Coturnix japonica: one gene and its partners. The protein of the gene in region 1 purifies or fractionates together with the protein of each later gene. This does not show direct contact. Links are inferred from orthologs where the notes say so. Each region holds a gene or a part of one and is shown in the gene's direction. Other genes may lie near its edges. The genes, in order: PTGES3, SMYD2, EGLN1, FKBP4, AAR2 and FKBP5.

The links.
Region 2: the proteins of PTGES3 (region 1) and SMYD2 purify together in Homo sapiens (affinity purification with mass spectrometry; 3 studies listed by BioGRID and IntAct, with this or other methods). This does not show direct contact. The link is inferred for Coturnix japonica from reciprocal best matches to the Homo sapiens genes PTGES3 and SMYD2.
Region 3: the proteins of PTGES3 (region 1) and EGLN1 purify together in Homo sapiens (affinity purification with mass spectrometry; 5 studies listed by BioGRID and IntAct, with this or other methods). This does not show direct contact. The link is inferred for Coturnix japonica from reciprocal best matches to the Homo sapiens genes PTGES3 and EGLN1.
Region 4: the proteins of PTGES3 (region 1) and FKBP4 purify together in Homo sapiens (affinity purification with mass spectrometry; 3 studies listed by BioGRID and IntAct, with this or other methods). This does not show direct contact. The link is inferred for Coturnix japonica from reciprocal best matches to the Homo sapiens genes PTGES3 and FKBP4.
Region 5: the proteins of PTGES3 (region 1) and AAR2 purify together in Homo sapiens (affinity purification with mass spectrometry; 3 studies listed by BioGRID and IntAct, with this or other methods). This does not show direct contact. The link is inferred for Coturnix japonica from reciprocal best matches to the Homo sapiens genes PTGES3 and AAR2.
Region 6: the proteins of PTGES3 (region 1) and FKBP5 purify together in Homo sapiens (affinity purification with mass spectrometry; 4 studies listed by BioGRID and IntAct, with this or other methods). This does not show direct contact. The link is inferred for Coturnix japonica from reciprocal best matches to the Homo sapiens genes PTGES3 and FKBP5.

The regions. Positions count from the first base shown.
Region 1 is NC_029544.1:1,699,920-1,704,016, forward strand, and holds the start of PTGES3 (prostaglandin E synthase 3), read left to right. Parts: upstream 1-1,297; 5' UTR 1,298-1,546; coding exon 1,547-1,548; intron 1,549-4,097. Other genes in the region: NACA (nascent polypeptide-associated complex subunit alpha), read left to right, coding at 9-392. UniProt on the Homo sapiens protein: Cytosolic prostaglandin synthase that catalyzes the oxidoreduction of prostaglandin endoperoxide H2 (PGH2) to prostaglandin E2 (PGE2).
Region 2 is NC_029518.1:18,626,815-18,630,314, reverse strand, and holds part of SMYD2 (N-lysine methyltransferase SMYD2), read left to right. Parts: intron 1-169; coding exon 170-294; intron 295-3,500. UniProt on the Homo sapiens protein: Protein-lysine N-methyltransferase that methylates both histones and non-histone proteins, including p53/TP53 and RB1. Specifically trimethylates histone H3 'Lys-4' (H3K4me3) in vivo. The activity requires interaction with HSP90alpha.
Region 3 is NC_029518.1:35,717,602-35,721,662, forward strand, and holds the start of EGLN1 (egl nine homolog 1), read left to right. Parts: upstream 1-1,261; 5' UTR 1,262-1,404; coding exon 1,405-2,301; intron 2,302-4,061. UniProt on the Homo sapiens protein: Cellular oxygen sensor that catalyzes, under normoxic conditions, the post-translational formation of 4-hydroxyproline in hypoxia-inducible factor (HIF) alpha proteins.
Region 4 is NC_029516.1:68,427,819-68,432,091, reverse strand, and holds the start of FKBP4 (peptidyl-prolyl cis-trans isomerase FKBP4), read left to right. Parts: upstream 1-1,473; 5' UTR 1,474-1,672; coding exon 1,673-1,756; intron 1,757-3,056; coding exon 3,057-3,201; intron 3,202-4,273. UniProt on the Homo sapiens protein: Immunophilin protein with PPIase and co-chaperone activities. Component of steroid receptors heterocomplexes through interaction with heat-shock protein 90 (HSP90).
Region 5 is NC_029535.1:174,073-178,195, forward strand, and holds the start of AAR2 (protein AAR2 homolog), read left to right. Parts: upstream 1-1,323; 5' UTR 1,324-1,389; coding exon 1,390-2,140; intron 2,141-2,874; coding exon 2,875-3,104; intron 3,105-4,123. UniProt on the Homo sapiens protein: Component of the U5 snRNP complex that is required for spliceosome assembly and for pre-mRNA splicing.
Region 6 is NC_029541.1:456,248-459,747, reverse strand, and holds part of FKBP5 (peptidyl-prolyl cis-trans isomerase FKBP5), read left to right. Parts: coding exon 1-138; intron 139-254; coding exon 255-397; intron 398-985; coding exon 986-1,100; intron 1,101-3,500. UniProt on the Homo sapiens protein: Immunophilin protein with PPIase and co-chaperone activities. Component of unligated steroid receptors heterocomplexes through interaction with heat-shock protein 90 (HSP90).

The DNA.
Region 1 (4,097 bases):
TTCTTTAGGTTGATGAAACCGGTGTGGAGGTGAAAGACATCGAGCTGGTCATGTCCCAGGCCAACGTGTCCAGAGCGAAGGCGGTCCGTGCCCTGAAGAACAACAGCAACGACATTGTAAACGCTATAATGGTGAGCTGCTGTGTGCTGGGGGGGGGCCTACATCCCACATTTCACATCCCATATCCCATAACCCACATTTCATATCCCACATTCTATATCTCATATCCCACATCCCACCTCTGCTGTTTGAGGCCTACCACTAGGCCGCACTGCCGCCATTGGGGCCTACTGCCTCCATTTGGGCCCTACTGCCTCCATTGGGGCCTACTGCCGCCATGGGGCCATACTGATGCCATTCGGGGCACTACTGCCGCCATTGTGGGCCTCTGATGCCATTGAGGCCTACTGCCTCCATTGGGGCCTACTGCCTCCATTGGGGGCCTACTGCCACCATTGGGGCCTTACTGATGCCATTGAGGCCTACCGCCATTGAGGCCTACCGCCATTGGGGCCTACTGCCTCATTGGGGCCTGCTGATGCCATTGGGGACCTGCTGAATGCCATTGGGGCCTACTGAAATCGCCATTGAGGGCCTATTGATGCCATTGGACGCACTACTGCCCCATTGCAGAGACCTACTGATGCCATTGGGGCCTACTGCCGCCATTGGGGCCTACTGCCTCCATTGGGGCCTACTGATGCCATTGGGGCCTACTGATGCCATTGGGGCCTACTGATGCCATTGGGGCCTACTGCCGCCATGGGGGCTACTCCGCCATGAGGCCTACAGCCCCCATTGAGGCCTACAGCCCCCATTGAGGCCTACAGCCCCCATTGAGGCCTACAGCCCCCATTGAGGCCTACTGTCGCCTTTGGGGCCTACTGACGCCTCTTTTTCTCTCCTCAGGAGATTGACGTGTAGAGCCGAACGGCAGGAGAGGGAACCTATTACTATATTTCTTTTTTTTTTTTTTTTTTTTTTTTTTTTTTTTGGTTATTTCAGAGAAGACTTAAAGGAAAACCTACATTTAACATTTGTACTTTGTTTCTATCAGTTAATAAAACTTAATTGATAGAGCCGCACTGACTGAGGCCTCAACTTCTCTCAGGCGCGCCTACAGGCCGCTGCCCCCCCCCCATGTCTCCATGGTAACCACTGGCTCCGCCCACTCAGCGCAGTGCGCATGCGCGCCGAGAAGCTGCTAGAAGGGAGGAGGGGGCGTGGCCAATGAGGGGAGGGCGGGAAGCGCCGCGCGCCGGAGGCGACACGCGGGACACGCGCATGCGCAGAGTGAAGCGGCCGAATCGGCGCGGCGGTATTTTGCTGCGTCACCAACGTTGGGCGCCGCCGCCGCGCGGTGCATTGTGGGAACCGAGGCCGCGCCGAGCCCGGAGCCTTCGGAGCGCCCGGAGCTCAACGGGCCGCACCGACACACACCGACACACCGACACACACCGACACACACCGAGAGACACAGCGCCGCCACCCGCCGGGTTAGGCCGTGTCCCCCCAACGACTGGAGCCGCCGCCGCCGCCACTCGCCATGTGAGGCCCTGAGGGGGGTTGTGTGTGTGTGGGGGGGGCGCTCCGGGCCTACACCGTGAGCGGCGGAGGGGGCGGGCACCGACATGGGAACAGGCCGCGGCCTGGAGCGGAGCAACGCGATCAGCGCCGGGATGGGCCGCGACATGAGGCCTGTCCCGGTGCGGGGCAGCGAGCAGCGAGACGGCGGGCAATGAATGGGAACCGGGCGGGGACGGACGGGGCTGCGGGACGGGACGGGATGAGCTCCGGGTCCGGCTGAGCTCCGGGTCCGGTCGAGCCCCGGGTCCGGTTGAGCCCCGGGCCGGGCTGAGCGCTGAGCCCGATGTGTTGTGCCCTAAGTGGTTCAGCTCCATGCAGTGATTGGAGTGAATGCAAACAGCGGCACCTTCCCGGTGTTATTTGCCCCAAACCCCGTGACTTGAGACCCGCCGGTTCTCATTGATCCAATGGGTTGATCACTGTGGCCATCACCGCCATCACTCTGAGCTCTAGGGCTGCTGAATGGGACTTAGAAGGAGCAAAGAGTCTCAGAGCTGAGAGCTCCGTGTAACCTTAAAGGCTGCATCATCCCCAGAGCTCAGCGCTGCTGCATTGCGATGCCTGGGGTTGTTCTCACGGCCTGCAGCTCCCACGTGGTGCTGGGAGATGAAAGCAAAAGGAGTTAATGCAAAAGGAGTTAATGGGGAGCAAAACTCGTCACGCTGGCTGTGGAGATAAGAGGGTTTCTCGTGATCCTCTATGGGGGGTGAGGATCTTTGTCCAGCAGATGATGCCTGCAGCCATCCGGGCTGTCAATGTGCTTTCCAGGATGGGATGTGTCCTCCCAGTGTGTTGAATGGGGAAGAGAAAAAGCACGTGGGCAGCTTTGGGGGCATCCTGATGGCCTCAAGTTGTGCCTGGTGTGATCTGAGCTCAATATGGGGGCACAGGGGCTGAGGATCCCCCCCCCCCCCAACGGAGCCTACCAAGGGGTGAGGGGGCTTCTCAACCCAGCACAGAGCTGCTGTGATCATTGCCATCCTCATTGGACAAGGGGGATGGTTTGAAACTGAGATAGGGAAGGTTTAGGTTGGATTTTAGGAGGAAGGTGGTAATGCATTGGAACAGGCTGCCTAAAGAGGCTGTGGATGCCCCATCCCTGCAGGCATTCAAGGCCAGGCTGGATGTGGCTCTGGGCAGCTGGTTGGTGACCCTGCACATAATGGGGTTGGGACTCAGTGCTCACTGTGGTCCTTTTTAACCCAGGCCATTCTATGTGTCTGTATTCAGAAGGTCACCAGACTCTACAGGTGATGGTGGAGCCCTCTGGGAATATGGGGAGGGCTCCATTGCTGTGCTTGGCTCTATTCAGTGCCTGGCAGTTGGTTGTTGGGTGGGACTTAAGGTTTATTTGCTCTGTTCTCAATGTGGTTAGGACAGGAGGGCGATCCATCACCAAAGCACACACACAACGCTCTGCTTGACAATGTTGGCATAAGGCTGAAGTAACGTCTAATTAATTTATTCTGCTCTCATTCTATGAGCTCAGCTGAGCCAGGAGGAAGCGCTGGGCTCTGCTTAATGATCCCAACATCCTTCTCAGTGCTGGGAGGAAATGGGTGCTGGGTCTGCGGGGGGTGAGGGGGAACCACCTGCACTGCTCAACCTGGGTCTGCTCAGAGCAGTGTGAACCACAGCACAGCATGAGATAGGAATCACCATTAGAAGCCACTATGTAGCTGCCCTATTCAGATGGTGAGTCCAGCAGCCCAGGGAAGGCCTCTGTTTCCCTATGAGAGATGGAAAGGAAGGTGAGTAGTTCATATAAGACTTCTAGCACGGTTTTAATGTGTTGCACTGAGTGTATTTCAGCATGTGGGGAGGTACTAGAAGTTTGCTGTTAGAAACATGAATTGCATTGGAGTAAGCTGGATACAAGCATCGAGGCTGGGTTAGAACAGCACAACCAGGGAACGTGCCCAGCTCGCAGGGAAGGCTGGGGATGTCTCCATTGACACTGCAAACACGTGCAAAGTCTTCTTGCTATTCACAAGAGCCTCAGCACCGTGCTCAGCAGGGACACTGAGGCTGCTGTTGTGATAACAGCACGCTGGCTGGTGGGATCTCTGTCCCTTGGCTTTATAAGCAGCAGCAATTCAGGAATCAGCCGTGGAGTGGATCCCATTTGGTCTCTCTCCCCTTTATCAGCTGAATCACAGTAGCTTCAATCCCAACTCCTTGCAGGCAGGAAGAATGGTGGGGTTTGAACTTAAAACAGCGTCTGTGAGTTGTGGTTGTGGGGCTGCTTTGGGCTCACAGCAGTGGCTGCACCCTATGGGTCACGGTGCAGGTGAGCTCAGTAGCTGCAGCTGAATGGGGTGGGAGTTGAGATCTGCTCTGGAAGCTTAACGGCGGGTCACCCTGATGGAACGTTCTGGAAACTTAATCCGTCTTTGGTTGGGTTCTCATGCTGTAATGCTTTAGAGTGCAGCGCTGAGTCCGAGCACCTCACAGCATGAAGGTGCTACAGAGAGCAGCACCTTATTCTATGTGTCCTGATGTGCTTTCAC
Region 2 (3,500 bases), on another chromosome or scaffold:
GCCTTGGCAGAAGAAGCTTTATGGAAGAACAAACGCTTCTTGTGCTACTTCCAAGTAACTGCTCCATGAGGGTTTTCTGTTTAAGTCCAGGCTTGTTTAACTTAAACCTAACTGAAGTTCAGTGGGGAGTGTTCCTGTTACTGAAATGGAATGTATTCTTTGTCCACAGACCTTGACAAACTAGACAATGAAAAGAGAGAGCTGATTCAGAACGACATTGCTGCTCTTCATCACTTTTATTCAAAGCACTTGGAGTACCCTGACAATGCTGCTCTTGTAGTTCTCTTTGCACAAGTAAGTTGGCTAGAATCTAGTCTGCTTAGGTGGATGGTGCTGTAGGAGGAATTCAGCCTTTGTGAAAGGGGCAAAATCTTCCTGGTGATGGAAGTGATAGCTCTTTGCTTGGGGAGAACTGAGTGTGCTTGATGGCAAAGATGCACTTCCTTGGCCGAAAGTGGCTGGGCATGCTCCATTTCAGTAGTGAGGGAGAGATTCTTATCTTCAGGTTTTTCATGAGGTGCTTCTCAAACACTGAAGAAAATAGGAAATAGCCTTTAATAGACCCTATCCAAGTTAGGCTTTGGGCCAAGCATAGTGCAGCTGTTGGTGGACACAGGCAGAAACCTACTTGCCTTTAAAGGATCTCACCAGCAGAGAATAGGAAAGAGCAACCTGAAATTTTATCTGACCTATGGCTTTTAAACACAATCAATTAGTTTTGTCATCTGGAGAGATGAAGGCAAGGCAGGATGTCTTGTTAGGTATGTCACCTCTCTTCTCTCACCTGATTTTCATGCACATCAAATATGTTGTAGTGGGTGAAATAATGCAGAAATGGAATGCTGGAAGAATCCTTATCTTTTTTTTTTTTCTTCCTTTTTTCCCTGTACTTCAAAAGAAGCTACTTTAAGACTCCTGAGTAAAAAGTTTAATTTTGATCTATGGGTAAATGTTGTCTGCTGCAGTGAAAGCTGAAATGGCACCACCCTCTTCATATAGCCAGTTATGTATCAGTAAGGAGACACTGTTACTATTGCCTTAATACAGGCACTGTTATGTTGTAGAGGAATGATTCTTAAGCGTATTTGGCATCTGTTCTTCATTCAGTTGTTCCAAACTATACATTTTCCCCTCAGTAAAAGATTTTTCCATTTTAAAGACTTGATAATTTATGTTTGTTGAAGGGATACTGTAAATAAATCTGTACATCCAGTTTCTTGCATTGTTTCTATACTGGAATGCAGGTAGAATCCTCCAAAGATTGAGTTATTATATATAAAATGAGATTTTTTCACATCCTATTCTGGACCACCATATCCTGGTACTTCAGGTGACTCCTAGAATTGGTATTCTCTCCAGTCTTCCCTCTGGGTGCCAAATGTCACCTTTAGTTGTCATATGAGTTCATCTTGGTTATAAGACAATTATCTCCAACTGGACATTGACGTTTTTTGAACTGAAATTTCCAAAGATTATCTGGAAGTTCCAGAAAGGTGTTCTACAGGATACAACTTTTTGAAGTTTTGACTCCATTATGCATCTTTCTGGAAAAAGTGGAGGTTGGTCTATACTTGATACATACAAACACATTTTCTAATCATTAGTTAACCTGAGCTAAAAGCAGTAGCATGGATGTGGTGCCGTCCCTTTGTTTTGCTTCAATCATTTCTCTGGCCTTGTATTTTTAATTTGCTTCTCTATTTATTCTTTCTTCCCATAGCTCAGGGCAGCAGTTTGGCGGTAGGATACCTCTGACTCCTTGCTCAGTGCTTTTTGGGTCTTGGTCTGGTGTTGCTCCTTACCAACACAGATAAGGCATAATTATCTTTCAGAGCAGAGCAAAGATTTTTCTCCAGAGTATCCTAGTCCTCTGACACTCTCATCCCCAGCTGTTGGTATCATTCTATGGTCTTTTGTCCCTCTGGAATATAACTCTAGATACTATCACTCAACCTCCTCAGTCTCATCTCATCGTACTCTTTGGCTTCTCTTCAGTTTTTCTTTCAAGTTCTGGTGTCCCATCCTTTCCTGTGCCTTACTTTGCACCATCTCTGTTCCACCATTGGGAACAACCTTGGTGTCTCCTTTTCTTGCTCAGGTTTCTTTATTCCCTCCATGCTTCCTTTTTTAGTCATGCATTCCTCTGGGGAAAACAGTGCTATCTCATCTCTTCTGTTTGCTCCTCGTGTGTCATTTGTGGTATGATGCATTCAAGAAGTGGGCTGTCTCTGGATTAGTATAACTCACTACATATTTTTAAATATTTTCCTGTGATTCAGATCCATCAAGCTGTTCTCTGTGTCAGCCTTCGTAGCCTTATGTTCTTATTTGCTGTTGATGTAATTTTTCTCTTCTATTGTTTTTGTATTCAGCAATTACATTTTGGTTTTGGTTCAGGTATGCTCATATGTTGGCTAGTGCTCATCTTGAGAGACAGGGAGCCTTTGGATGCTAACTTGCTAAAACAGAGAAATAAAGAACAAGTAAAGGTACCAAAAATACTGGTAATTGAATCAGAGATGCAGGACACTTAGCTGTGAACTCATCATGAACAATTCATAACTGAGGGGTGGCTTTGGAAACCATTTCTGCATTTTTAAAATCTCATCCAAACTGCATTCCAGCCTGTGAGGCATTACAGTTAGTAGTGTTTGTTGTCGCCTCCTGCCTTCCAGAGCACGTACTTGTGCTGTACTTGATTGAGTGCTCTTGTGGCCATTATAGCTTCAGCTGGACTTCATTATGTGACAGTAGTTCTTCTAGTGTTTTTCTGGCACTTATGTGAGGATTTTAAGGATTTTAGGGGGAGTGGCTGGTGCGTGTGGCTGGGGTTCTCTGGGCTGGCATGTAGGTGACTTGCAGTAAAAACGGAATAAAATACTCATTTGAGGTACATCTAGGTCACTTAAGTCAGACAGAGTTGAAAGTCTGGAAACATTCTTTTGAGCTTAGTGAGAATAAAACAGGAAAAGGTTTTAAAACCTTTGAACCTATAAGAAAGACATATGAATAAGCTTTTTATTCTCTGATTAAATTATTATTATTAATATTATATAATAATATAATAATAATATGATTAAATTATGCTTCCTCACACATTCTGTTCTTTTTCAGTCTCCTCCTATATCTATATGAGGTTCCAGTCTATCTCACTCCCTGTGTTCTTCGTATCTGCTTCAGCTGTAGCTCATACATGCAGCCTTTGACCAGATAACATCCTCATTGTGCCAGATCTCAGTAACACATGCTCCTTCAAAGCTCTGCAGTGCCTCAGCCTGGCTGGGTTTGTTGCTGCTCATCCCTGCGTTGTTCTTTGCATGCATAGTTCCACTTCAGCCTGTTGTTGGCAATAGCCAAATGAGATCTCCTTGCCCTGTCATTGTTACACATGATGTTTGCAGTGGTCTGCTTTGTTGGACACTCTTTGTGGTGCTTTTTTCAAGCCTTCATTCTCTTGATTAGCATTTTGAGGTGTAATCCCTTAGATGTTGTGTCCTGAG
Region 3 (4,061 bases), on another chromosome or scaffold:
TTGGCAGAACATGGGCAGAACATTCACACTGCTCATTTTCAGTTACTAACCAAAGGACTCGTTATGCTTCTCTACCCCCAGGTCTGCACATGGCTCCTTTCTTGGGCCTCTTTGGCTTTAGGATGGATTTCTGTGCTGAGAAGATACACAAAGCAGCTGAGTGCCCTTGCCCAGCCCAGCCAACCAAAGCTTCTGCTCTGCTTGCCGGATGGGCCTCAGAGCAAATGAGCCCCACAGCCCAGGAAGGAGCTGCTGAGTGCTGCACCTTGACACTGTGTTGGGCCATACTGCACAGGATGTACAGGATACATCACATTCACTTGACATCTACTGCAAGCCAGCAAGGTTCAGGCTAAGCCGAGTGGATCGGAGCACACACGTCATCTCAGAGCTCCTGGTGTGGCTGCTGACAGCCGATGTGACCATGGTGGGGCTCTCATCCCTCCATGGCGTCACCTCCTCTCTGCCGTCCCCACAGCTCCCGCCGCTCGGCCAAACCAGCTTCCTTTTCCTGTGGGGCTTTGTCCCGCTCACGGTAGCGCCGGCCCCAGCACCTCGTGGTTTCACGGCCCCCATCATCTGCTCTCTCTTCCTTCTGCATTATTTAAACCGCCTCGCTCCGGCGGTCAGGGCCGGGTTAGATCGAACAGAAGCCACACGTTATTTACGAGGGGGACGGCGCTGCCTCCTGCTCCACCGGCTGACTTCGGGGCCTACAGTGACACAGCCCGACCCTCCGCTCGGCCACCGCGGCCGGACCCAAGGCTCGACTTTAACCACTCGTCACGCCGGTGCCGCCCGCTCCCAACGCCGGCAGCGGGGGCTCGGCCCGAGGTTCCCAGCCACGCCCCGTCAGCAGCTTCGCAGCACGTCGGACCCCGCCGGCCTCCCGCACGGCGCGGCTGGCCCGGCCCGGCCCCGCCCGCCGGCAGCTCGGCCCCGCCCGCCTGACGCGCCGCCGGCGCTGGCGGGCTGGAAGTGGCGTACGTGCAGAGCGGGCCGCGAGCGTGGCGCCTCCTCCTCGCCCCGACACGGCGCTGAGGCGCGGCGGGCAGGGCGGCGGCCGCGCCGGGCCGCGCACTCGGCAGAGCGGCCGCGCACCGCGCCAGCCGCCCGCTCGCCCCGTCTGCCTTCCGCCGCCTCCCGCGGGGCGGCGATGAAGCGGCGCTAGAGGCGCACGGAGGGCCCCCGCGGCGGCCCCGCGCCTGGCCGCGCCGAGGAGCGGGGAGGGAGGCCGCGGGCCGACGGACGCGCAGGGCGGCGGGGGCCGCGGCGAGCCGGGCGGCCATGATGCAGTGAGCGCCGCTCCCAGCGCGGCCGGGCGGGGGCCCGCGTAGCGCCGCTCCCGCCCGCCTCCTTACATAACGAGCGGCGGAGCGGGGCTGCGGCCGCACCAGCAGCGCCATGGCGAATGACAGCGGCGGCGGCGCCGGACAGGGCGGCGGCGGCAGTAGCAGCGGCGGAGGTGGCAGCGGCGGCGGCAGCAGCAGCAGCGAGCGGGACCGGCAGTACTGCGAGCTGTGCGGGAAGATGGAGAACCTGCTGCGGTGCGGGCGCTGCCGCAGCTCGTTCTACTGCAGCAAGGAGCACCAGCGGCAGGACTGGAAGAAGCACAAGCTCATCTGCCGCGGGGGAGGCGCGGCGGGCGCGGCAGGGGGCGCTGTAGAGCCTCGCGGCGCTCAGCCCCCGCCGCCCCGCGCTCACGGCTCCCGCAGCGCACGCGGCGCCTGCGGCCGCACGGAGCAGGAGGCGGCCAAGGGAGCCGCGCCGGGCCCCGAGCCCCACGGAGAGGCCGCCCCGCAGGACGACGAGCGCGTCGCGGCCGCCGGGGGCGGAGAGGCGGCGGCCACGGCCCCGGCTCCCGCCACGGAGGCGGTGTCGCTGTACCGGGACAAGTCGAACCTGTACCCGGGCGGCGTACAGGCGGGGCCCGGCGGGGCCGCCTTGCGTCCCAACGGGCAGACCAAGTCGCTGGTGCCGCAGCGGCTGGCGCTGGAGTACATCGTGCCCTGCATGAACAAGCACGGCATCTGCGTGGTAGACGACTTCCTGGGCAAAGAGCTGGGCGGGCTGGTGGCCCAAGAAGTGCGAGCCCTGCATCACACCGGCCGCTTCACCGACGGGCAGCTGGTCAGCCAGAAGAGCGACTCCTCCAAGGACATCCGCGGCGACAAGATCACCTGGGTGGAGGGCAAGGAGCCGGGCTGCCAGACCATCCGCCTGCTCATGAACAGCATGGACGATCTCATCCGCCACTGCAACGGCAAGCTGGGCAACTACCGCATCAACGGCAGGACGAAAGTGAGTGCGGGACGGGGTGGGGACGGGCCGCCGGCCGGGACCGGGACCGAGCGCACGTGGTCGCCGATGCGCTCCGGGGCGGCCGAGGGCGCAGAAGCGAGCCCCGTTGTGTCGGCCTGATTGGCGATTCTCTTCAGGTCCGCCGCATGAGATCGTACGCTCCGTGAAGGACCGCGATGAATATTCATTACCGTCTTTTCAGCCCCTTCACAATTTGCTGCCTCTGTTGAAGTATAAGGCTGGCAGTGAGATGCCGGGGGGCGCCCGGCGAGGCCGGCCCGGGCACAGAGTCGCTGTTGTTGGTGCAGCTGTGGGGCCTCAGCTGGTGGGAAGCGGGAGTGGGAGGGGGAGAGAGACAGCCCCGGGTCTGTTCGGATGCGCTGAGTTACCTCCTGCCGCAGAGCAACGTGGGGGGAACTTCTCGTTTCTTCTTTTTGTTCTGCGATGCAATCTGCGCGTACCGCCAGTTGAAGCAGTGCTCTGTGAACGCCATCACAAACGTGGTCTGGATTTCTCCTCCTGCTCTGTTGACTCGGATTTTTTCTAAGCCAAAAAGTTGTGTGCTAGTGGCACGGGCTGCCCGTGCGGGTGGTGGTGTCACAGTCACTGGAGGTATAACAGAAACGTGTGTGGGCACTAAGGGATGTGGTGGGTGGGCTGATGGTTACACAGGATGGTCTTAGTGCTCTTTTCCAGCCTTTACGATTCTGGAAAAGAGCACTTAGGTTGGATGTTAGGGGGAAGTACTTCACTAGGAGAGTGGTTAGGCCCTGGAACAGGCTGCCCAGGGAGGTTGTGGATGCCCCGTCCTTGGAGGTGTTCAAGACCAGGTTGGACGGGGCCCTGGGCAACCTGATCTAGTAAAGGTGTATGTTTGGTGGCCCTGCCAGGCAGGGGGGTTGGAACTACATGATCCTTGAGGTCCCTTCCAACCCGGGTCATTCTGTGATTCTTTAAGGTGCCTGTGCTTCAGACTCACCTGCTGCAAACATCTGGAGCCTTGAGTGCTTCCCAAGAGAAGCACTGTTTTTGTCTGCGAGCACAGTGATGTGCTGCTGGAAGTAACGTGTGCCAGGGCAATACAGCAGCAATACAGTTGTGAAGTTTGCTGAGCACCACTTGGTATTCACTTGCTACTGAAATAAATCCCTGTGTTTCCAGGGACCGAAGCAGGTGCAGGCAGCCCTTTGCTCCTCGCTGGTACAGAAATGTATTACTTTCTGTCTTCTCCTGTTCCCTTGCTTATCTCCCAAAACCAGTGCTTCTGGTGTTGCAGGAAAGCTTGGTTTCCTAAAGCTTCAGCACAAGCAGGAGGAAATCTGTCCATCACTGTTAAAAATTTACTAGTGAGTGAAGGTGTATCGCTGCAAGGGGCTGCACAAGTTGAGTGGAAGAATCAGACTTGGTTGGTTTGTCTGTGTTTGTTCATAATGTCTGCAGGGGTAGCAGACTCTCTCTTGCATCCTTGGAGGCCTGCACCTTTCCTTCACCCTTCTGCCAGAGTGAGTAGAGCCCAAGGGCAGGAGCTGCTTTGACATGTCCCATCAGAGCTACTGGGACAGAGCTACTGGCTCTGGGAGGATGGAAACACGGTGACACCTCTGGGTTATTGGGAAAGTCTTGTTTTTTGTTTCCTTCTCGTCTCTGCTTTCTCTGGATCAAGGTTTGGTCTCACTCCTGCAGGAGTTGCAGTTCATTTTGTTCTTAGCTGTAGAGATGAGTGTGCAGCAGAGATGATGCTACTACACAGCAGTTACCCC
Region 4 (4,273 bases), on another chromosome or scaffold:
AGCAGTGCTGGGCTGCATGCAGCCTGTGGTTTGGATAAGCCTGACATAAATGAAACTCCCAAATAACATGGAACACTTACATTCAGAAGCACTGGAGAAGAAACCATAACCTTACTATAAAATAACTTGCAGAAAATGTGAACTTAGTGAATTTAAAGCACCAGAACTAGTTTTAGAGAAATGCTTTCATCCATCAGTGAATTAAGGGAAGTACACCTCAGAAACCTCAACTGCAAATACAGAGCCCTTTTCCAGTCCTGCGATGGAGGGGTTGGATCTTACTATGCATGCCTGTAGTGTAACTGCTCTGCTCAACTCATTTTTCTTTAAATTAGGTTTTGAAGCAAGAGATGAGTTTAATACCACAGTTTTACATTTGAAAAAGAAAATAAAAGAGGCTTGTCTCTAAGGCATGTGGGCCATAGCAATATCCTATAGTCTGCTGTGATGTGGTAAATGATGAGAAACAACTTTCTCTCTTCTAGGTTTAAAGGACAACGAAGGACTTGCTTTGCTATTTACTGCTGAGCAAGGGAAAGCAAGGATAATGGGGTAACTCTGTAGCTGAAAAAGGCTAATATAAAGGTTTTAACCTGACTGCAGGCAGCAGCTGACATTCTTAATGGCATACGCAGCAGTGTCATACAAACTGATAGCACAACATTAGACTGATGAATATCTGTACCCTCCTGTGGGCTGCCAAGGGTTGCACCACTGCTTTAAACAACATAAGTGCAATTCAAAAAAAGCTATGGCAGAGCTACGTTACTCTCTTCCCTTCTTTTATATTCAAACCTTTTTTTTAATCTCTGGCAAATCTTTAAAGGAAGGCTGCCCCAAAAGTAATGCCTTCAGTTTTTCTATGTTGACCACTAGGTCAGAGATGTTGGTGGTAGAGCAAGTGTTGAACCTTCCTGGGCAGGCTATTCCAGTGCTTGATCACTCCATACTTAGTAATCTGAGTTCAGAGTTTGTTTTTCTGCCTAACTAGAACCATCTTTGTATCCTGTAATGTCTGTCACTCTTTGTTTTTTCCAGCAAATACGATTTCTACACAGGTTCTAAGCCAGCATCTCCTGCCAGATATCTGAAAGATATAGACAAAGTCGTACCACCTACCAGCGCACAGTAAGACAAGCCACCAAAGCGATGCACTTAGGAACAAAACTAGCAGCAGGACACTATAGCAAGGCTTGGAAGAAAAAGGAAAAACCTGAAGCTCAGCAACCACAACTCCCTGCAAACCCTGGCACCCCCATCATGCAGGAAAAGCCGAGCACATCACCTGCCGATCGCTACCTCAGCTCAGCGCAGCCCAACCGCTTCTCCTCAACTTCTCCACCCTCCACATCCCTCAGTCAGCTCCATTCTCCCCGCCCCAAGGCACGACGCGCCCTTTAATCCTCCCCTACCACAGGCGGCCGCTCTGCGACAGCCCAGCCGCTTCTCTAGAAACTTCTCGGCTCCTCCCTCTCCCCCTCCCCTTCCTCCTTCTCACTGCTCTGGGGCTCGCGCTGCGGTGAAGGTAGAGAAGGAGGAGGAGGCGTGTGCGGCGTTTGTTCTCTCGTTGTTCGGAGCCGGAGCTGCGGCGCGGTACCAGCCCAACGCGGCGGCCGGTGCCGACTCCACCAGGCAGCCCTTCCCTAGAGCAGCGGTGGCCGCGACAGACGGGATGACGGCAGAAGAGATGAAAGCGGATGGGGCTCCCTTGGAGGGGACGGACATCACCCCTAAGCGGGATGAGGGCGTTCTCAAGGTACTGAGCGGCTGCCGCTGTCTACTACTCGGGTATTAGCCTGTTGTGAGGCCCTGAGGGGCGGCCTACGAGCGGGCGCTTCCTTCGGCCTCCTTCCCCGGGCACCGACACGCCGCCGGCTGGCCCCTTCCCCTCGGGTAGGGCTGTGAGCGGGCCGCTCACCGAGCGTTATGCTCGTACAGCCCTCATGGTTACTTACACATCAGCCGCAACGCTGCAGGCGGCTGTGTCGGCCTGCGCAGGCGCTGCCCGTGTACGGGGCTCCCCGTGGGAGCTGGCAATGAGAAGGAGCCCACGCTTTCCGTGAGGAAATCCCAAGGGAGAAGTGGGGGGGAAGACGAGGCGTCCCTCCCTGTGTCCCGCGTGGGTTTGGGAGAGCCAGGCTGAGCTCTCTGCTCTCTAGTTTGGGGGGGGTTGAGCAGATCAGTCCCGCCCCCAGCACGTGGTCGGACGCTGGAATTAAAGATGGTGCCTTGGCAAAAGTGTGTGTATGGCTTTTATCTATGTAGATGGTGCTGAGCAGTGCAGCGCTGTGTAGGCTGAACTAGTTATTTCTCACAGCCTGAAAATGGGGGCACTCTGTCTTAATATAAGCATGGCTTGGAGCCTGAGGTGGCACGTTTTACACTTGGGCCTGGTATAGATGTGCTTGGTGACAAGCACACCCCCAATTGCCTGCGGGTCTCTGGTACCTTGGCTACTCGAACATTGTAAAAGGCATCTTGTATCTCTCTACCATATGCAGTACCCATTCTTTGATGATGGAGAGGCAGGTGATAATAAAAATACAAAGGAGGAGGGGGATACTGGTAAAATAACTGAGGTTGTATGAACATTATAAAAATAAATAATGTGTGATTATGAGCTGATAAGGCAAAACATTGTGGAGGTCTTGAAGTCCAGCTCACATGACTCCAGAGTTTTCTTTTGTAGTAGTAGTGGTTGCAGGAATGCAGGTTACATCTGTTGAAAAGGTCTAACTGAACTGACATAAACCAATTTTGTACTACTATCATAGCACTGATTCCAGAAGATGTTGTTTTCATTGTTCACTAGCTTCGTATCAGAATAGTATCCAGAGGATTTGACCTGGTGGCAGCAGAGCTGCCTTTGTTTTCCCTGCATTTGAAATCTTATCTTTAGACAGGCTAGTTGTGACATTTCTAGATAACTGAAGTATACCTGCAAATCTGTTGTTGACTGGAGAGGGTAAGTCACACGCCTTAAGCGAATAGAATTGAAGTCCAATAGGCAAATGTAGTTTTGATCATTTTAGAGTTGCTTACTGTTTTTTTTTCAGGTTGTCAAGAGAGAAGGCACTGGTACAGAGTCTCCGATGATCGGTGATAAAGTGACTGTCCATTATACAGGATGGCTTCTTGATGGCACAAAATTTGACTCCAGTCTGGACAGGAGAGACAAGTTTTCATTTGACCTGGGGAAAGGTAATAACTTATGTTTGCTTTTGGTCAATCTTAGTAATATTGAGATGGAGTTTTCTTGCACACTTTTTCACTCACTAAGATCACTATTTTAACTTGTTTTCAGAGCTAATCGTTAATTCATATAAACAGATTAACTCAGAAGTGCTTTGAGATCTTTCTGAGTGGGCATTCTGTGTATCTGGCTCAGAATTCACAGGACCTCAGATACAATGCTCACCTCAGTGGGAGTTTACTGTGAGATACAGCAATAAAGGCAGTTAAATAGCTGCAGCATATATTTTGTTGATAGTTTTTTGTATTGCTTTTGTATCTTGTTGCCTCAAATTCAAGAAGAGTTAAGTGTAGCTGGGTACTGGGGCAAGGATGTGAAAGTACTGGGACAGAGTGCACAGGGGCAGCTATCAGCTGCAACTGAAGGAAAGAGGAAATATGCTCCCTCTATCCCTAAGCTCCCAGATCTAACTGTTGAAGTAAGTCTGTAAGTAAGTCAGATTTGAGTATGAAAATCCAAACATCCTAGTTCCTGCAAAATTTACTACTCAATCTGTGGTTATCACTAGGAGTTCTTTACCTACTGGCTTTTTATTTGGGAGATAAACTCTACGAAGTCCTGAAATTTGGGATGATAGAATTTTACCAAATGGTACAGGGCAACTTGATTGAACTGAAAGGAACCACAAGTAGGAGCACTTGAGTTGAGAGGTTTTTGTTACTTTGGCTTTAGGAGGGATACTTGTTCTACTTTCCTTCCCCTTTCTGTTATAAACCCACGCAACTTTCAGTTACCACTTACGTTGGCCTTTGCCAACTGATAAAGTGCAGAGAGACTGGGCTATTGTGGGCTGTTTTCAAAATACAAGCAGACAGTCTCTTACCCTAAGACCTTATTTTTTGAAGAGCATTGCTACTTGCTCACACTTAAGATTTTGTCAGGTGCTTTAGGCATGATCTGTGTCTAGATTACCTATGTTCTGTATGGGTGAAGAAATGAGGGGAGAATAATAATCACTGTAGAATGAAAAAAAAAAACCAGCTAAATTTGGGTGCCCAAGTAACTTTGTAAGTTGATTAC
Region 5 (4,123 bases), on another chromosome or scaffold:
CTCAAACTAGTGGCCTTATACAGTTAGAGCTGACCTGAGCGTGGATTCAGACGAGTTATATTTGGAGTGAGCGGACCCCATTCTGTGGTTTTTACAGCTTGTTTAATGGGCGACAGCATTTCAATTAGAAAACGACAATAAATAAAAGCACCAACAAACAAATAGGATGAAACCAACCTGCCAGGCTGGGGCAGCTCAGCATGGTGTGTTTTCTTCCAGGGGCCTTTCTGCTGCAAGGGGCGGGAGACATGAGTGCCTGTTTTTACCCGATCCCACAGATTTATTCCAAACCTGGCCTGCAATTGCATGAGTGATAGTAACAGTAACAATAACAATAATGTTTATATTTGAAAAGCACCTTACCAACCAACTGCAGTGCTCTGCTGTTCCTTCACTAACTCCCCTTTTCCCTTATTCTTCTTCTCCCCCCTCCAGTCATGCTCCTTTTCAGTGCTCGGTGGTGTACGCGTGTGTGCTCACTGTTCTTGTATTCAATAAAAGTGAAATAAATGTGTTTGAGGCTAAACCAGCTCTGCGGCCTTTTCAGACTCCTTCCCACCAAAGAGGATGCGCAGATGGGGACAGGGGCTCCATGCAGGGGCTGCATAGCGGGCTGTCCCCCATAGGTATTGTACGTGGTGGTTGGTGGTGATGCTGCATGGCTGTCCTGCCGTGGGCTGTAGGGTCACCCTTTGGGGTTGGAGGTTGCCATTTAGTGTCAGCGTTAAGCGGGTCACCATTGTTGGTTAGGGTTGGGTATTAAGTGTTACCTTTTGGGATATGTTTGAGGGCTACAGCTTAGGGTTAGTATTAAGGGCTAAGGGTTACCCTTTTGGGAGATGGGTTGAGTTACCCTTTTTGGTTAGAATTGAGGAGTACGGGTTAATATTTTGGGCTATGGATACGGTTACCCTTTTGTGTTAGCGTTAAGCATTCAGGTTTCTCCTTTTGTGTTAGGATGAAGGCTCACTCATTTGGGGTTACAGTGAACGGCTTGGGGTTACCAGTTTGGGCTACCAGTTACCCTTTTGTGTTAAGGCTAAGTATATGGGCTATCGTTAAAGGTTACACTTTTGGTTCATGGCTAAGGTCCCCCTTTGGGTTGCGGTTGAGGGTTACTCTTTCGTGTTACTGTTAATCGTGAAGGATTACCCGTTGGTTAATGGGGGCGGAGGGCGACCGCTTCTGTGTGGAGACCGGACGGAAGCAGAGGTTCGGCTGTCGGGGCGTCACGTCGAGCGGCCGCAGCGCAGCGGGGCTCCCCGGCCTCCGGGACCGCGCGGAGGCGGAACGAGTTGCGGCCCGGAACGTTCGTGCGCGGCGCATGGGGCGGCCCGGGCGCAGAGCGGAGGAAGGACCGCGCGTTTCCGGCCCTGTCCGCCCGCCGCGATGATGGCGGGGCTGCGGGCCGACCCGGAGCTGGCCAAGCGGCTCTTCTTCGAGGGTGCCGCCGTGATCGTCCTGGGCGTCCCCGAGGGCACCGAGTTCGGCATCGACTACAGCAGCTGGACCGTGGGGCCCCGCTTCCGCGGCGTCAAGATGGTTCCGCCCGGGGTGCACTTCGTGCACTGCAGCGCGGCCCGGTCCGCCGGCGGCACTGAGACGGGACCGCGGGCCGGGCTGTTCCTCTGCCTGCGGCCCCGGCAGGTGCGCGCCCTGCGCTGGGAGCCGGGCAGCGAGGAGCTGCGGGACGCGCCGGGAGAGGAGGAGGCGCTCGGGAGGGACCTGCGGGACATGGACGCGTTCCTCGGGCCGTACCCGTACGACACCGTGAAGAAGTGGATCGCCCTCAGCAGCTTCGTGGGCGAGGCGGCGGTGGAGCGGCTGCGGCCGGAGAGCGGGCGGATCTGCGCCTTCTCCGAGGTGCTGCCGGTGCGGGAGGGGCGGCTCGGCCGGGACCGCGCGGGGCAGAAGCTGCCGCCGTACGACGCGGGGTGCGGGAGTTACGCCGAGGGCGTGGCCAGGCTGCCCGAGATGCGGCCCAGAGCCGGAACCGAGATCCGCTTCACCGAGCTGCCGCGGCGGACGTACCCCGAGGGAGCCAGCCCGGAGGAGATCACCAGGCACTGCATGGACCTCAGCTACGCGCTGGAAAACGTCATCGCGCGGCGCTACGCCGGGCGGCCGCAGGACCTGCTCGGTGAGTGCGCGGCGGGGACAGCCCCGGGCGGAGCTCCGGCCGTGGCCGTGCCGGGGGGCGGGTGCTGAATGTGGAGGGGCCGGGAGCCCGGCTGGGCTGAGTTGTGAGCGTTTGTTTTTCACGTGGTCTGTCGTGTTACACGAGTCATTCGTTATCAGAATTCCTGCGGGCGATTGGAGGGGAGGCGAAGGTGATCGCATCGGGTGCAGGTAACAATCTTCAGAGCCACCGGTTCTGGCTGGTGAGAAGCGCCTGGCGAGGCTGAGTCCTGGCTCTGAAAAAGAGACAAACACTCGTTGCTCACAACCTCCGTTGTTCTCATCCCTGCGTCTGGGGGCAGCGCCTGCAAGCCGTGGTACAGGAGGAGGTGAACGCCTGCAGGGCGCCGGCAGTGGCTGTGTGCAGGTCTGTGCACCTGTGAGTGTTGCAGGTGCTCCTGTAGCTCCTCACTCAGTGCCAGCAGCACCGCCCTGCAGAGCTGGCAGCCACAATTAGGAGCCCTGCCCGGTTACACTGTGCTTTCTCTCCAGATGGGAGAAGAGCAGAGCATTAGGAAATAATCGGTGTTGGCAGTATTGATCGCCATTTGCAGAGTCACTTAGAGGGCTGAAGGTTGTTTATATGCCCAAGCTAAACCTACAGTTTATGCAGTCATCTGCAGAGCTTTTTAGAGGATGTGTGCCTTGGTTATACCTCGGTTTACCTGTTTTGTTTTGTTTTCTGAATACCTGCAGCTGAGTTGCAGTTTGCTTTTATCTGCTTCCTGATTGGGAATGTATACGATGCATTTGAGCACTGGAAAAGACTGTTAAACATCCTGTGCCGTTCTGAAGCTGCCATTGCAAAGTATCAGGACCTTTATGCCAATCTCATCTTTGTCCTGTACCACCAGTTGAATGAAATCCCGTCTGATTTCTTTGTGGACATCGTCTCCCAGGACAACTTTCTGACCAGCACCTTGCAGGTACGGCTGTGCGTTCTCTTGATCCATGGGAGTCAGAATGCAGGGCATGCAGGGCATTGAAACAGATACAGAGAGAAGCTTCAAGAGGAAGTAAGCTGCTGTTGAGTCTGCCAGAGATAGGGAGCCTGTGTCCTCCGTGAGGGCACACTGACATTTCCTTTTACTTTTTCCTGGCGTTGCTCACACAGAAATGACCTCTCTTGTCATCTATGAGCTTGATCTACCAATGCACATCGAGCATTTATTGCCTTCAGCAGATCAAGCATTTAAAGCACCGTGGACTGGAGTTGGTCCGCACGCACGTGCCAGCAAAGTGAGGTATTGAGGGGAGAGGCTGTTGACAGCTGCAGCACAGAGTGAGGCCTGAGTCTTCTCTATTGTGTTTTCCTTGAAGATAGCACTGACCGTGATCTGGTCCATTGGTGCAGGTTTGGAGTTCTGGAGTGGGACAACTGACGTGACTGGGTGGAACCAGCATGTTTGTTTTAAAAGTGATCTGGGCTTTCAGCTGTGTGAAGCTGAACATCTCCGAGAGGGGCTGAGCGAGTGCAAAGTGGTGTCTGTTTGTTGATCAGTTTTTTTCCCCTCCAAATACCATTCGTTTAAAAACACGTGGCTTGGTGTAAAAGAGTGGTGGTGGTTTCTGATCAGCTTGGATGGTGTGCTCAGCCTGCAGGGAAGTTGCAGCTAAATCTTACTGAGCTGAAGGTATGGATAACATATAAGAAGCCTTTCTGCTCCTGCCTGCTTTATGCAAACGTGAAGGTTTCCTGAAATCAGGTTGTTGTTTGTATGGGATTTATGGTCAGTCCAAACAGCAGAAATACACTGCTGGTGCTGAGACAGGCAAGGGCAAACCTGTAAGTCACTCCCAGTCACTGCAACTGCTGATAGATCAGCAATACTGGAATAGGCTCCCCAGGGAGGTGGATGAATCTCCATCCCTGGATGTGTTTAAGAGCCATTTGGATGTGGTGCTCAGGGATATGATTTAGCAGAGGGTTGTTAGAGTTAGGGTA
Region 6 (3,500 bases), on another chromosome or scaffold:
AGAGACCTGGGAATGAGGATGAGTCCCCTATGATTGGAGACAAGGTTTATGTGCACTACAAGGGCAAGCTGGCCAATGGCAAGAAGTTTGACTCCAGCCGTGACCGCAATGAGCCCTTTGTCTTCAGCCTGGGCAAGGGTAAGGGGACAGGGGACTCCCGTGTCCTCATGGCACTAATGAACAGCTTTTTGGGGTCCCCCTCTTATGCAGTTTTTCTGTTTTGAGTTTTTTCTTGATGCCTGCCTCTCTCTCAGGCCAAGTGATTAAGGCGTGGGATGTTGGGGTTGCTACCATGAAGAAGGGTGAGGTCTGCTACTTGCTGTGCAAACCAGAGTATGCCTACGGGGCTGCTGGCAGTGCCCCTAAAATCCCCTCCAATGCCACCCTCTTCTTTGAGGTAAGTACAGGGATGGGAGATCTCAGTGCTTTCCGCCTTGCCAGTCAGCTCTGAGAAAGAGGAAAAAAGAAACAAACCAACCAAACAAAAAAATATTCAGCTTACATTCCTGAAACGTGTCCCTCTGCTCCAGGAACCAATGCCAGTGTTTTTTCAGCAATGTGTGTCTGAGCCGAGAGTCTGCGGTGGGGAGCAGCCCTGTGGGGAGAGCCTGGCTGTGCGAAGGCACGCGAGTGGGGAAGCAGCTCAGGAACACTTCCAGGGGTTAAAAATCTGCTCCTGTGCTCCCCGTGCGCCTCTCAGCCACAGTTGCGCTCTGCCCTGCAGGATTAATAAACTTGGTTTTACTCTTACTTTGTGCTGCACTTCAGGTACTGGATGTGGCCCAATTTCTAATAAATTGGGTGTATTATGCTGTGGCTTGGAGCTGGCTTTTATGGGCGACTTCTGCTTGTCAGCTGAGCACAGAATTAGTTTGCTTGGCTCTCTGGCTTGGGGATGAACTGTTGCTTTGTGGATTTTCTGTTGTTTTTCTCTTCTCCTTCCTCTCCACCCACAGTTCTGCCAACCTTCCCTTTAATCCATTAGATTGAGCTGCTTGATTTCAAAGGCGAGGACCTGTTTGAAGATGGAGGGATCATCCGGAGAATCAAGAGGAAAGGAGAAGGCTATTCCAACCCCAACGAAGGTGCTACAGTGGAAAGTGAGTACTGGGTTGGGAGCTGCCCTTGGCACAGTGTGTGATGGCTGTTCCAGAACTGCTGGCTCGGAGGGTTTTACTGGAAAACCTTGAGCTGTAGGAGCAGCCAGCTGGGGATGGAGCGACTGCTCAAGGACAGCCTGCACTCCGTTTCTGCAGTCCCTGTGGGGTCTTGGGGTCAGCCCTTTCCTCTCTGTTTGCCCCTCCCTTGTCTCTGAGTGGCTCCAGGATGTTGTTATATCCAGGACTGGTGTGGTGGATGCTGAAAGTTGGATTTGCTGTGATTTGGATTTCAGCCTGTAGCGCTGGATTTGCTGAGGTTTTCACTTGGTGTGCAGCTTGCTGGGTGCTTGGGACGCATCTTTTTGTCCAGACGAGGAGGCAGCAGCCCCTCTGGTCTCCTTGTTGTGGTGCTTATTGCTGTTTTGGTGGTTTCCATTGCATCTGCTGCAGCACGGGCCCTTTTCCTTCCCACATGACCGGAGGAAAGCTTCAAACTTCTGGTTGCAGCTGTTGGGGGATGAATTAACTCAAAAGGGGTCTGTGGAGTCAGTGTGATCTTAAGTGCATGGCAGCTCATCCTATCCAGCTCCTCGCTCCCTGTCTGTGAGTGGGACAGAGTGATTCTGGTCATGTTTATGGAGCAAATGTCTTACCAAGGCGGGGACAGCCAAGCTTTTTTTTCTCCTCCTGAGAACAACTCAGCCATAGAAGTAGAGCTAACATGCCATCTGCATAAGGCATCTAGTTTCTTATCCCCATTCCAGAGCTCCTGTTCGTTCAAGAGAGTCCAATTAACTTCCATTAGCGAAGGTGAAATTAGATCTGAACTCATAAAACTCACTGTCTGTTCCTCTCACAGACTTTTTTAAGGAGATGTTGTCTCCTGCTGATCTATCTGCCTGTCACATGGCTAGACACTGCTGGGGGTAGGATTTCAGGCTGCCTTCCCTGTCTCTGAGGTTAACCTGAGAAACAAGCTGAACAGAATGACAACCAATCCCATTCCCTCCTGCCTCTTTAACGCTGTTTTTTATTTCATTCAAAATGGGGTTGAGGGGTGAGCCCATGTGCCTGGGGAGCAGGGCAGAGCCATGCTTTCCCCTTTGCTCAGATGCAGTGACAGCGTGGTTGCTCAGAGCAGGATGGAGATAGGCTGGGGAAAATACTGTGAGCATCTGCTGCTCTGAAAGGACACAGCAACCGGAGCTCTCTGTGGAGCTGTGTTTCTGGGTGCTCTGCACCTTGAAGCTGACTTGTTCCTGTTTCAAGTAGATGCTCGGTTCCAAGCAAACACGGAGAACAGGAGCAGACAAACAGTCAGGGTAATAGAGATGAATGCCCTTGGAGGCAGCGCTGCATAACAGCGCTGCTCAGAGCAGGAGCACTGCGCCAAGGTGGCTGCAGGTTCTTCGCACCAACCTGCAGCCTGGGGCCAGAGACCATAAATACATCCCAATGAGAAAAGATGCAAAGCAGCAGTGAGCCAGCCTGGCAGCCTTGCAGGTTTTGGGTGCAGAGAGGCTTTTTATTTTCCAAATGCACTGCTGTTTACCTTGGAGTGCTTTGCTTGGGGCTTGTTTGCAGGGGAGCCCAGCAGCAGAGATGGGACCCCATGGAGCGGCCTTAGTTTATGGGGGTGCACAGGCACCTCTGTGTCTTTCACTCCACTCCCCAACAAACCCTGCATCAGGGATAGCTCCCAGGTGCCCAAAACCTCTGTTAGAAGCCTGCTGGGGAAACATGTGCACTAGCCAGGGTGAGCACCTCCAGTCTGGAGTTTCATAAGCAGTTCTATAGCTTTGAGTTTTACAGGCCGTAATTTGCAGTTCCGGTTCCTAAAACACGGGCTGCAGTCAAAATCCCACATTCCAGCTTTTGTTACAACCTTTCCCCACCCCCTCCCCCTCCTCTCCATTTTAATCTGAGTACAAATTGCTGTCAGCACATCAAGTTCATGTGCCAGCCGCACTCGGTACACTGTGTTCTGAGCTCTTCAAAAACAAAATCGCTGCAGGCACCGGGAGAACAATAAGTCAGCCACTGCAGCCGAAGGGATGTGCAGAGCCCGGCAGGGGCTTTGCTTTCTGTAATCCAAGAGCAACCGCAGCCAGCTGACCTGCTTCAGATAGCGCTGAAATGCTCCTGGAAACCGGAGCAGAGATTTCCCCATCTCTAGTGTGCAATTAGAATGGAAGGAAAACTCTTCTGCTTCTCTTGAAGCGAGGGCTGGGAGCTCGTGTTCTTCTGGGCATCCTGTTGTTGAGGAGGGCTTGTGGGATCAGCTTGTCCTGCTGCTGACAGGTGACCCAGGGATCCGCAGGGCCAGGGATGGTGGGCGCAGAAAGCACAGAGACAGCAAGGAGCCATGAGGTTGGTGGGCTGCTTGTGCTTTAGGCTGAA